3 linked regions of the Macaca mulatta genome follow. The protein of the gene in region 1 interacts with the protein of each later gene in a biochemical or structural test. Links are inferred from orthologs where the notes say so. Each region holds a gene or a part of one and is shown in the gene's direction. Other genes may lie near its edges. The genes, in order: STX4, SNAP25 and SNAP23.

What was found.
Region 2: the proteins of STX4 (region 1) and SNAP25 form a complex in vitro, tested with the Homo sapiens proteins (3 studies listed by BioGRID). The link is inferred for Macaca mulatta from reciprocal best matches to the Homo sapiens genes STX4 and SNAP25.
Region 3: the proteins of STX4 (region 1) and SNAP23 form a complex in vitro, tested with the Homo sapiens proteins (4 studies listed by BioGRID). The link is inferred for Macaca mulatta from reciprocal best matches to the Homo sapiens genes STX4 and SNAP23.

What each region holds. Positions count from the first base shown.
Region 1 is NC_133425.1:29,674,746-29,678,287, forward strand, and holds part of STX4 (syntaxin-4), read left to right. Parts: intron 1-1,457; coding exon 1,458-1,566; intron 1,567-1,645; coding exon 1,646-1,722; intron 1,723-2,041; coding exon 2,042-2,179; intron 2,180-3,076; coding exon 3,077-3,187; intron 3,188-3,258; coding exon 3,259-3,339; 3' UTR 3,340-3,354; intron 3,355-3,447; exon of another isoform or gene 3,448-3,542. UniProt on the Homo sapiens protein: Plasma membrane t-SNARE that mediates docking of transport vesicles. Necessary for the translocation of SLC2A4 from intracellular vesicles to the plasma membrane.
Region 2 is NC_133415.1:73,754,444-73,758,092, reverse strand, and holds part of SNAP25 (synaptosomal-associated protein 25), read left to right. Parts: intron 1-565; 5' UTR 566-628; coding exon 629-700; intron 701-2,819; coding exon 2,820-2,861; intron 2,862-3,649.
Region 3 is NC_133412.1:19,899,937-19,904,145, forward strand, and holds the start of SNAP23 (synaptosomal-associated protein 23), read left to right. Parts: upstream 1-1,322; 5' UTR 1,323-1,399; exon of another isoform or gene 1,400-1,450; intron 1,451-4,209. UniProt on the Homo sapiens protein: Essential component of the high affinity receptor for the general membrane fusion machinery and an important regulator of transport vesicle docking and fusion.

The sequences.
Region 1 (3,542 bases):
CATGTTCATCTCTAGGCATAGGAACTGTGGTGTAGGCAGCAAGGTTGGCATTCAGCAAGCATTCAGCAGTTACATATTGGGTGCCTACTGTGTGCCAGACCTTTTTGGAACTGTTTAGGGTACAGCAGTGAATCAATGATCCCTATCCTCATGGAACTTCCCTTCTGGTGTAGACAATCACCATAATAAATAAGTGAATTATTTAGAACATAATAAGCATTAAGGAAAAAAGAGCAGCGGAAGAGGGACTGAGCATGCTGGAGGAGGGTAGCGTTGCAGTTGAAAGCAAGTGGAGGAAGCTTCATTCAGAAGGTGACATCTGAACAAAAGACTTAAAGGTGTTTGCGGGGAATGGGCATTCTAGGTAGAATGAGAAGTGAATGCAAAGGTTTAAGCTGAGAGTGTGCTTTGTCTAGGGAGGGCTGTAAGGAGACCAATGTGGATGGGCAGAGGGAGGGAACAGTAAGAGGAAGCAAGATCAGAGAGGGCTGGCCGTGCACCTTGGCTCACACCTGTGATCCCAGCACTTTGGAGGCTGAGGTGGGAGGATTGGTTGAGCCCAGGCGTTTGAGACCAGCCTGGGCAACATTGCGAGACCCCATCTCTCTCTGTTTTTTTTTTTTTGAGACAAGGTCTCACTCTGTCACCCAGGCTGGAGTGCAGTGGTGCCATCTCTGCTCACTGCAGCCTCCGCCTCCTGAGTTCAAGCCATTCTCCTGCTTCAGCCTCCCAAGTAGCTGGGACTACAGGCACCCACCACTGCACCCAGTTAATTTTTGTATTTTTAGTAGAGATGGGGTTTCACCATGTTGGCCAGGCTGGTCTTGAACTCCGACCTCAGGTGATCTGCCTACCTCAGCCTCCCAAAGTGCTGAGATTACAAGCATGAGCCACCGTGCGGGTCAACCCTGTCTCTATTAAAAATAAAAATAGGCCAGGTGCAGTGGCTCACACTTGTAATCCCAGCACTTTGGGAGGCTGAGGTGGGTGGATCACCTGAGGTCAAGAGATTGAGACCATCCTGGCCAACATGGTGAAACCCCATCTCTACTAAAAATATAAAAATTAACCATGCATGGTGATGTTCATCTGTAGTCCCAGCTACTTGGGAGGCTGAGGCAAGAGAATCGCTTGAACCCAGGAGGCCAAGGTTGTGGTGAACCAAGATTGCGCCACTGCACTCCAGCCTGGGCAATAAGAACGAAACTCTGTCTCAAAAAATAAATAATAAATAAATAAAAATAAAAAAGATCATGGAGGGCCACATAGACTTGCTAAGGGCTTTGGCTTTTTGTCTAAGAGAAATGGGGGAGCCTGTCAAGGTCATCACAAAGTGGTTAAGGTGGCAGACCCCGCATAAGAGCTCATGCTATTTGCTCACTTTACTATGGGATTGCCGAGGCCCAGACCGGGCAAGGATCCTCCCGGGGCACCCAGCCTATATTCTTCATCTTTAGCATGGGGTCCTGTCCCAGCAATTCGTGGAGCTCATCAACAAGTGCAATTCAATGCAGTCCGAATACCGGGAGAAGAACGTGGAGCGGATCCGGAGGCAGCTGAAGATCAGTGAGTTGTGTGTGCCCAGCCTGGCCTGCAGGGGCAGGTAATCCCAACCCAGCCCTGAGCCTGGCCTTTTCCTTCACAGCCAATGCTGGGATGGTATCTGACGAGGAGCTGGAGCAGATGCTGGATAGTGGGCAGAGCGAGGTGTTTGTGTCCAATGTGAGTGGCCACAGCCAGCCCCTCTCTGCTGTGCCTCCCATCTCCTCTGATTCCTATCCCGTTCTTGACCTTCTGGGCTCAGGTGATCCTCCTGTCTCAGCCTCCCGAGTAGCTGGGACTATAGGTGTGAGCCACTGGACTCCGCTTGCTATGTCCCTTTCTGATTGAGGGGACCCTGAGGCCCCTAAGGGAATTAATTAGCTAACCTGGAGTCACCCATCAGATTCCAGGCTGAGGGCTACCCAGAAGTTCAACAGGAGCTTCTGACCTGCTGTCGGTCTCCCTGTGAACAGTTGCCCCACTCCTGTCCACCCCCTAGATCCTGAAGGACACACAGGTGACTCGACAGGCCTTAAATGAGATCTCGGCCCGGCACAGTGAGATCCAGCAGCTTGAACGCAGTATTCGTGAGCTGCACGATATCTTCACTTTTCTGGCTTCTGAAGTGGAGATGCAGGTGAGTGCCCCGCGCAGCCCCAGACGTGATACCAGGCTCAGTCCAAACTGCCAGCCTCCTGCCACCCTTAGATTCTCTCCCTGAGGCTTTTGTGTCTTCCAGGTTTGGCCATCCCCCCAAATTGGTGCTTATTCTTATCTTTAGCTGTACCCCGAGAATGGCGCCTGCCTCTGCTGCTACCCAGATACCCACTCCCTTCTGCATAGCACCCTGCCCTCTCTCCAAAACTTGAGCCTGCCCAGGTCTGGCCCCAGCCCTGGCTCCCCCTCCACTAACAGCATCCACCCTGATACCTCTCAGAGGTTCAGTCAGAGTTGCCTTAGAGGGGCTGCCTCCTAACATCTGTACAAGGCTGGGGTGGGGGCGGTGTTCCCCTGGCCCTGGTTGCGTGAGTTGAGTTGAGCTTCCAGCCCTGTCCTGGAGGAGCTGGCCTCAGTCATGCTACAACCAATGCCCTTTTGCAGCTGAGACTTACAGGAAAGAGATCTCATTCAGTAGGAGCACTGAGACCTGAGGCTGGTGGTGCCAGGAGGAGGCAGGGATAGGGAGGGCTTTGCAGCAGCTGTAGATAGGCCTGGAAGAATGGGTAAATTCAGACAGATTTGTGAAGGCACAGTTCACCATCTGTGAAAGGTATGAGCCATTTGAGGTCCTTAGCTCCAAGCTACCACTGCAGATAGAGGTCATATGGGATAAGCGAGCAGGGGACAAGGGACTACATGATAGAAGGGACCTGGAAGCCATCTCCAAGGAGCCTGAACTTTTGTCAGATCGAGTCTTGCCCTTGTCTTTGTTAGTGCAATCTTTTTTTTTCCTGCCAGGAATGCTCTTCAGTCATCTGGGGTGGGGTGGGCAAAGGCATCCTTACCTCCCTGAATCACCCCATCCTCTGAGCAGGGGGAGATGATCAATCGGATTGAGAAGAACATCCTGAGCTCAGCGGACTACGTGGAACGCGGGCAGGAGCACGTCAAGACAGCCCTGGAGAACCAGAAGAAGGCGAGGAAGGTGAGCCTCCCAGGCCCAGCCTCTGCCCCAGGCACCCTGTGTGACTTCCCTGACCCCCTCCTCTCCCACAGAAGAAAGTCTTGATTGCCATCTGTGTGTCCATCACCGTCGTCCTCCTAGCAGTCATCATTGGCGTCACAGTGGTTGGATAATGTCACACATTGTTGGTGAGATGTTGTGGGCTGCCCTCTGGCCTGCCCCAGCCCTGGCCCCAGCCCTCCCTTCTCCCTCAGACCCTGTTCTCCCTCCTTTCCTTACAGGCACTAGGAGCACCAGGGACCCAGGGCCTGGCCTTCTCTCCCAGCAGCCTGGGGGACAGGGCAGAGCCTCCAGCTGGACCCCTTCCTCACACTGG
Region 2 (3,649 bases), on another chromosome or scaffold:
AAAGAAAAGAAAAAGAAAGAAAAGAAAGTAGATCAGCAGTTTTCTGGGCATAGACATGTGGGATAGGGCAGGGACCACTGGGTGGGTAGGAAATTTGGGGGAATAATGGCTAAGTTCATTGTTTTGATTGCAGTCATGGTTTTCTGGGCGTATACATATGTCAAAACTTCTCAAGTTGTCCACTTCACATATGTGGGGTGTCCTGTATATCTGTTATACCTTAATAGAGCTATTTAAATAAATAAATAAATGTGACGATAAAAGTGCACTAACCCCAAACCACACCCCTCCAACCTCATCATTCCCAACCCTTGGGTAGTTTGTCTCTTTAGAAATATTTCATAGGTAGATAGGTGTCTACCTCCATGGTAGAATTGGCAAGTATGTATTTGTGGCACCTTTCGGAGAAATAGCACAATTCTCTTGACCCCTGTCTGAGCATGGCTTTCAGATCAGAAAACTGAGTCATGTGGACTGAATATGGGCCATGTAGATTTTCTGGTCTTTGCACACACCTACATGAACATATATAAGCTCTCATATTTTCAAATCTACTTCTTTCCAGGTCCAGAGCCAAACCCATCACTGACCCCCCAGCCCAGGCGCCCAGCCACTCCCCACCGCTACCATGGCCGAAGACGCAGACATGCGCAATGAGCTGGAGGAGATGCAGCGAAGGGCTGACCAGTTGGCTGATGAGGTAAGGAGTGGAGACCTAGGAAGGGAGGCAAAAGATGAAGGCCTGAGTGGTTTGTCTTTTTCAGGTTTAGGTAAGGAAAGGCTTTCTTTCAATGTCTCAATTTTAGAAAAAGTAGTATGACTTTGATTTTCTATACAGCTAAGCCTTCTGCAGCCCAGAATGAGTTGATTACAAAACCTGTATACAAATTAATGCCTTGGCCGTAACTCTCAATTTCTAGAAATCTTGAGAAGTCAAGGTTCTCTAAGAAAAGAAAGCAATGTCTTTGGGTGCCTTACATTCAGTGCTATGCTGGAGAAGGTTCAGTTCTAAGAACAGATTGTTAACATTTTCAGGAACTTTGCAAGCTGGTTGCTAAATGCAGCCATTATTAAAATTGAATCATATAAACTGACAATTAGATAGATTATATTAAAATCAAAAGTAATAAACACTCAAACCTCATCACTTCCTAATTATTTTGCCACATTTTACTATTATCCAGGATCTTGAGATCCATCCATTGTATCTGTAGGGTGGAAATAAGGTGTAATAATGTGTCACCATGTATCTTTCCAACTTCATGATCAGTAATATGAAGTTGTAGCTTAAAATCAGGCAGAGCTGAGTACAGTGGCTCGCACTTGTGATCTCAGCTGCTTGGGAGGCTGAGGCAGGAGGATCGCATAGGCCAAGAGTTCATGACCAGCCTGAGCAACATAGAGAGACTCCTACCTCTAAAAATATTTGAAAATTTAAAAATCAGACAGAGTAAAAGTATTTATAACCCAAGAATCTGCAAATACTGCAGATCAGGACTTGACTTATTGTTTCGCTGATTGCCTAGACTTTAAAAAGTGGAGAAAATATTAATAATGCAGATTAAAGTTAGAAATATGTATGTCTGCAGCCATTATACTATGAATAACACAAAAAGAGGAAATCTTCCAGTATTTGAAAGTTATGATTCTCTAAGGCAAAGAAATCCCTTTTGTCATTCACAAATGAAGAAATTTCCAACACATGTCTTCATTGTTTCATTTTCTTCTTACTCATTAACATAAATGAAAATATCCAACCAACATTCATGTCAGAACTACTCTGGTTCATCACATGGTTAGCTATAGATACAAGAGTTCAGCAAAAATCAGTAAAAGCTTTCTGTGAGAATCAATTGGCTATGCGGAATTTACAATAAAGAGAGTATCGTATATTTTATTATTATTTATAAATGTTGTGCTATTCATCCTTTACATCAGTAAAATAATAACCTTGAATACATGTATGTGTTCGTATATTTTTCCCAGAGAGCCAGTAGTTAAACCTTTACCAGCAGACTGCTGCTTGCAGCCATTCTGTTTCAAAAAGCAGCCAGCTGACAGGTCTTCCAGGGAAGTTAACATCCTTCAGGTTCCTGCAGAATCTTGTTCAAAATAAGTTTGTCACTTAAAAGCAAAGCTTTGAGAAATCATACTGGTTGTTGGATTCTAGTCGTTTCAAAAGAACTGAGGAAAAAAATGACAACGCCGTGCCTGGGGGACTGTTGCAGAGCTCAGACTTTCCATCTCATTTTTTCTTATCTAAGGATGAAGATAATTATTATAGCTGTCTCCTATAGGCTAGTCATTTCAAACATGCTTGATTTTTTTCACCCTAAGGCAACAACTTAATTTGTATTGATAAGAACTTCCAATTGTGTTTCTAGGAGCTTTGTAAGAAACTTGATGTTATATTCATCTCGATTCATGAAAAATTATGCTCGTGTTTAAAATTTAATATTCCTGGCCCAGGGAGGCCAAATTAATCCTCTGAGTATTTGAGATAATTTTTCATGCATTCTGAGCATGCAAAATTATCTTCTCCAGATTACTTTGTCTTTGATATCAAGATCAGCTTCATATGGTTTTGATTTTATGAATATAAGCTTTAATGTAATTGCTTTAGGGAATCTGATCATGTAAAAAGCCTGATAGGAAAGAGTTTGAAAACGTAATGACATTTTGTGTTTCACTTGCCAACTGAAAAGAATATGTGATAGAGACCCTTTGTGATTCTCAAGTAAATACAGTATTTCTGACTTTCCAAGACCTCTGGATCCTGCACTCATAAAGCTTGTGTTTGTTTGTTTTTTTAATCTTAGTCGCTGGAAAGCACCCGTCGTATGCTGCAACTGGTTGAAGAGGTAAGAAGTGACAGTATTTTAAGGTAAAGAAACAAATCCTTTATGCTGATATATCCTCTCCTAGTTGCTATTATGTTTCCTTAGTCCATGATCCCATAGATTCCAGTGTGAATGTAGCCTATCAGAAAGGCTCAGAATGAGGGAGATGCTGTATTTAAGTTGCCAGATAGCCATGAAGGCAACATCACCCTCCTTCCCAGCCCAAGCTACCTCTGTAGTCTGGGAAGCAGAGAAGAATAGAATTTCCAAGTCAGTGCTCTCAAGAAATCACAAAAGATTGTATCACTTTAAGCAAATCAGAGCAATTTTTAATATACAAAGGAATTATCTACATGAAATATTATTTGTAATTATTTTGGTGCCTATAAATTACATTTAATCTTGAGATTCTGTTCTAACTTTAGCCACATATATGACTTTTAAAAATATGTAATGCATATAGGTATATCATTTTAAGAAATTGTTCTATTTAAAGTTAAGCACTAAAATTTACGAAAAAAATAGGAAAGGCCTTTAAGAAAGGGAAATATCAAGTCCAATATTATAAATACAGAAGCTTTTCTATATTCCTGTCTGGATTAAGCATCCATTTGCGAGGCAGGATTAATGAATCCCAAACTATTTTTAAATGGGTAAAATGGGGCAGACAGTAATAATGGAATCAAAAGGGCACTTGGAATCATAAACCTCACTCATTCCAATTTGGTAGTACAGCAGTCGGCCAGCAGAATAAATGGATTAATTGAACTTGCCCGAAGGGAGAGATGAAGTGGAAAAAGAATGGGTTG
Region 3 (4,209 bases), on another chromosome or scaffold:
ATATAAACATACAAAATATAAAAATACAAAATTTATATATATATATATATATATATATATATTTTTTTTTTTTTTGAGACAGAGTCTTGCTCTATCGCCCAGGCTGGAGTGCAGTGGCTCGAGCTCGGCTCACTGCAAGCTCCGCCTCCTGGGTTCAGGCCATTCTCCTGCCTCAGCCTCCCGAGTAGCTGTGACTACAGGCGCCCGCCACCACGCCACCACGCCCGGCTAATTTTTTTGTATTTTTAGTAGAGACGGGGTTTCACCGTGTTAAGCAGGATGGTCTCGATCTCCTGACCTCGCGATCCGCCCGCCTCGGCCTCCCAAAGTGCTGGGATTACAGGCGTGAGCCACCACGCCCGGCCATATTTTGTATTTTTAGTAGAGACGGGGGTTTCTCTATTTTTGCTAGGCTGGTCTCAAACTCCTGACCTCGTGATCTGCCCGCTTCAGCCTCCCAAAGTGCTGGGATTGATTACAGGTGTGAGCCACTGTGCCTGGTGAAGCACTTTATTTTCTTGATTTCCAGCAGTTTGTTTTATTCTTAGAGGTGCATGGAAGGGTTCCTGCAGCAAATAGTTTACAATAATCATCCATCTGCTTAAAACTCTTCAATAGTTTTCAGTGCCCATAGTACAAAGTGGTCTAAAATTCCAAGGCCTTCCAAAATCTAGCGATTGTCGGCCTTCTAAAGCTTTCTTCCCTCTACACTCTGGGATGTACGATTAGCACTAAGCCTCTTACAAGGATGAACTACTAGAAATTTCCAGAAGGCGTTATGCTGTTCTCGACATAAGCTGTTTCCCAGAGCCTGGAAAACTCTAGCTCTTTCTCTGCCGGATTTCCGGGGGAACTCCTACTTATCCTTCAGGACTCAAGTCACTTCCTCCGGGAACCCTTCCAGACACCCCTAAGAATAAAACGCTTTGTTCATTATCAGCCAAAGGCGCCTCAGATTTTCTATGTGCTATGCACTGTATTCTATTCACTATAAATTTGTTTACATATCTATATCTTAGTCTAGACATATTGAAAGACGCTGAAGGGCAGGGAAAGCATTCTATTCGCTTTCTTTTCTTCATCGTTCATCCAGCACACTGCCTGGCACACGGTTTGCCCTCAGTAAATGTTTATTGCATGAACACCTCCCAGCTTCGGGCATGACCGGAATCTATCCGGTTAACTGGTGAATTCCCAGACTCTCCGCCTGCGTGGCAGGGACATTTAAACCCCCAGCACCGTGATTGGCTCCAGCTGCAAGGGTGTGTCCGTGTCCTCGGCGCACGGGATGTGCGCAGGCGCGCGGGCTCGGCGCGCGCAGGCGCGACTAGGGCGCCGCGCCAGGTCCGGTGTTGGGGTGTCCGAGCTGCGGCTGGAGAGGAGTGGCCTTACCCGCTTGGTGAGTCTCCAGGAGTGGGACGGAGGGAGCTGACCGGGATGAAGTCGGAGAGTATGTCCTGAGAAGAAAGAGTATATCGTATTGGTTGAAAAGTTGGTGGGGTCGGGCTTAAGCGGAGGAGGGGGCGCTCTGGCCCTTACTGGGCAAATGGGCCCGGAGCGAGGACGGGAGGTGCCGTGAGAACATCGAGGGGCCAGTGGAGGAAGGTGGCTGGATGGTGATTCTCTGGACCCTTCCTCGAAATTAAACAGAGATCACCTCCCGTCCCTCACCCCCACTGTGTTGCTGTGGTTGACATTAATAGACTGCATGTCTGGTGACCACGGTGACCAGATAGCTCTGAGATAATGGCTTGAGGAAGGACTCTCAGGTTCCTGGTATTGGATAGCACTTTCTCTGTAGAAAGGTTCAGCCTTACCTCGCGGCACAAATTAGAGGATCAGGAAAAGAATGAATTCCACAATTCGGGATTGTAGTGGTGGGGGGAAAAAGTACTGTAAAGTGCAGTTTCATCTCGTCCTTTTTTTCTTCTTTAATCATTAGTCACCACAATGTTAGGAAAGGCAGTTGATGGTAGGAGAAAACGTAAAGACATAAAAGTAGGGGAGAAAAAAAGTCAAGAAGGGAGTATCACTTTGCCTTTTGCTATTTGTCATCTCCTGGAATGGAGTCTGTATTAGTCCGATCTCACACTGCTATAAAGAAGTACCCGAGGCCGGGCTTGGTGGCTCATGCCTGTAATCCCAGCACTTTGGGAGGCCCAGGTGGGAAGATCACTTGAGATCAGGAGTTCGAGACCAGCCTGGCCAACATGATGAACTCCCATCTCTACTAAAAATACAAAAATTAGCCAGGCATGGTGGCATATGCTTGTAATCCCAGCTACTCCGGAGGCTGAGGCAGGAGAATTCCCTGAACCTGGGAAGCAGAGTTTGCAGTCAACTGAGATCATGCCACTGTGCTCCAGCCTGGGAGGCAGAGTCAGACTCCATCTCCAAAAGAAAAAGAAAAAGAAATACCTGAGACTGGGTAATTGATAAAGGAAAGACGTTTAATTGACTCTCAGTTCTGCATGGCTGGGGAGGCCTCAAGAAACTTATAATCGTGGTGGAAGGCAAAGGAGAAGCCAAGTACCTTCTTCACAAGATGGCAGGAGAGACAGAGTGAAGGGGAAAGAGCCCCTTATAAAACCAGTATCATGAGAACAGCATGGGGGAAACCACCTCCATAATTTAATCACCTCCCACCAGATTCGAGATGAGGTTATGGGTAGCCAAACCATATCATTCTGCCCCTGGCCCCTTTCTTTCTTTCTTTCTTTCTTTTTTTTTTTTTTGTTTTTGAGACAGAGTCACCCAGGCTGGAGCGCAGTGGCGCTATGTCGGCTCACTACAACCTCCAACACTTCAGCCATCCTCCTGCCTCACCCTCCTGAATAGAGACTACAGATGCATTCCACCAAACCTGCCTTTTTTTTTTTTTTTTTTTTTTTTGAGATGGGGTCTTGCTCTGTTGCTCAGATTGGAGTGCAGTGGCATGATCTCCGCTCACTGCAACCTCCATCTCCCAGGGTCAAGCAGTTCTCCTGCATCAGCCTCCCAAGTAGCTGGGATTACAGGCGCCTGCCACCACACCTGGCTAATTTTTGTATTTTTAGTAGAGATGGGGTTTGGCCATGTTGGCCAGGCTGGTCTTGAACTCCCGACCTCAGGTTATCCACTGGCTTCCACCTCCCAAAGTGCTGGGATTACAGGCGTGAGCCACCGCACCTGGCTAATTTTTGTATTTTTTAGTAGAGACGGGATTTCACTATATTGGCCAGGCTGGTCTTGAACTCCTGACCTCATGATCCACCCGCCTCGTCCTCCCAAGGTTCTGGGATTACAGACGTGAGCCACCACTCCCGGCTCCCCTGGCGCTTTTCTAATCTCATGTCCTCACAGTTCAAAACACAATCATGCCTTCCCAACAGGCCTCCAAAGTCTTAACTCATTCCAGTATTAACCCAAAAGTCCAAGTCCAAAGTCTCATCTGAGACAAGGCAAGTCCCTTTTGCCTAGGAGCCTGTAAAATCAAAAGCAAGTTAGTTACTTCTAAGATGCTATGGGGGAATAGGCATTGGTAAATGCTCCCATTCCAAATGGGAGAAATTGGACAAAACAAAGGGGTTACTGGCCCTATACAAGTCCAAAATCCAGTGGGACAGTCATTCCATCTTAAAGCTTATTTTAATCTCCTTTGACTCCATGTCTCACATCCAGGGCATGCTGATGCAAAGAGTGGGCTCCCAAGGGCTTGAGCAGTTCCGACCCTGTGGCTTTGCAGGGTTCAGGCCCAGAGGCTGCTCTCCTGGGCTGGCATTCAGTGCCTGCGGCTTTTCCAGGTGTATGGTGCAAGCTGTTTGTAGACCTGCCATTCTGGAGTCTGGAGGATGGTGGCCATCTTCTCACAGCTCCACTAGGCAGTGCCCCAGTGGGGACTCTGGGGGGGCTCCAACCCCATGTTTCCTTTCTGCAACACCCTAGCAGAGGTTCTCCTTGAGGTCTCTTCCCCTGCAGCAGACTTTGGCCTGGACATCCAGGGATTTCCATACATCTTCTGAAATCTAGACAGAGGTTCCCAAACCTCAATTCTTGACTTCTGTGCACCTGCAGCCCCAGCATCACGTGCAAGCTACCAAGGTTTTGGGGCTTGCAGCCTCTGAAGCAACAGCCCAAGCTGTACCTTGGTCCCTTTTAGCCATGAGCTGGAGCAGCTGGGACTCAGGGCCCCAAGTCCTGAGGCTGCCCACGAAACCATTTTTTCTTCCT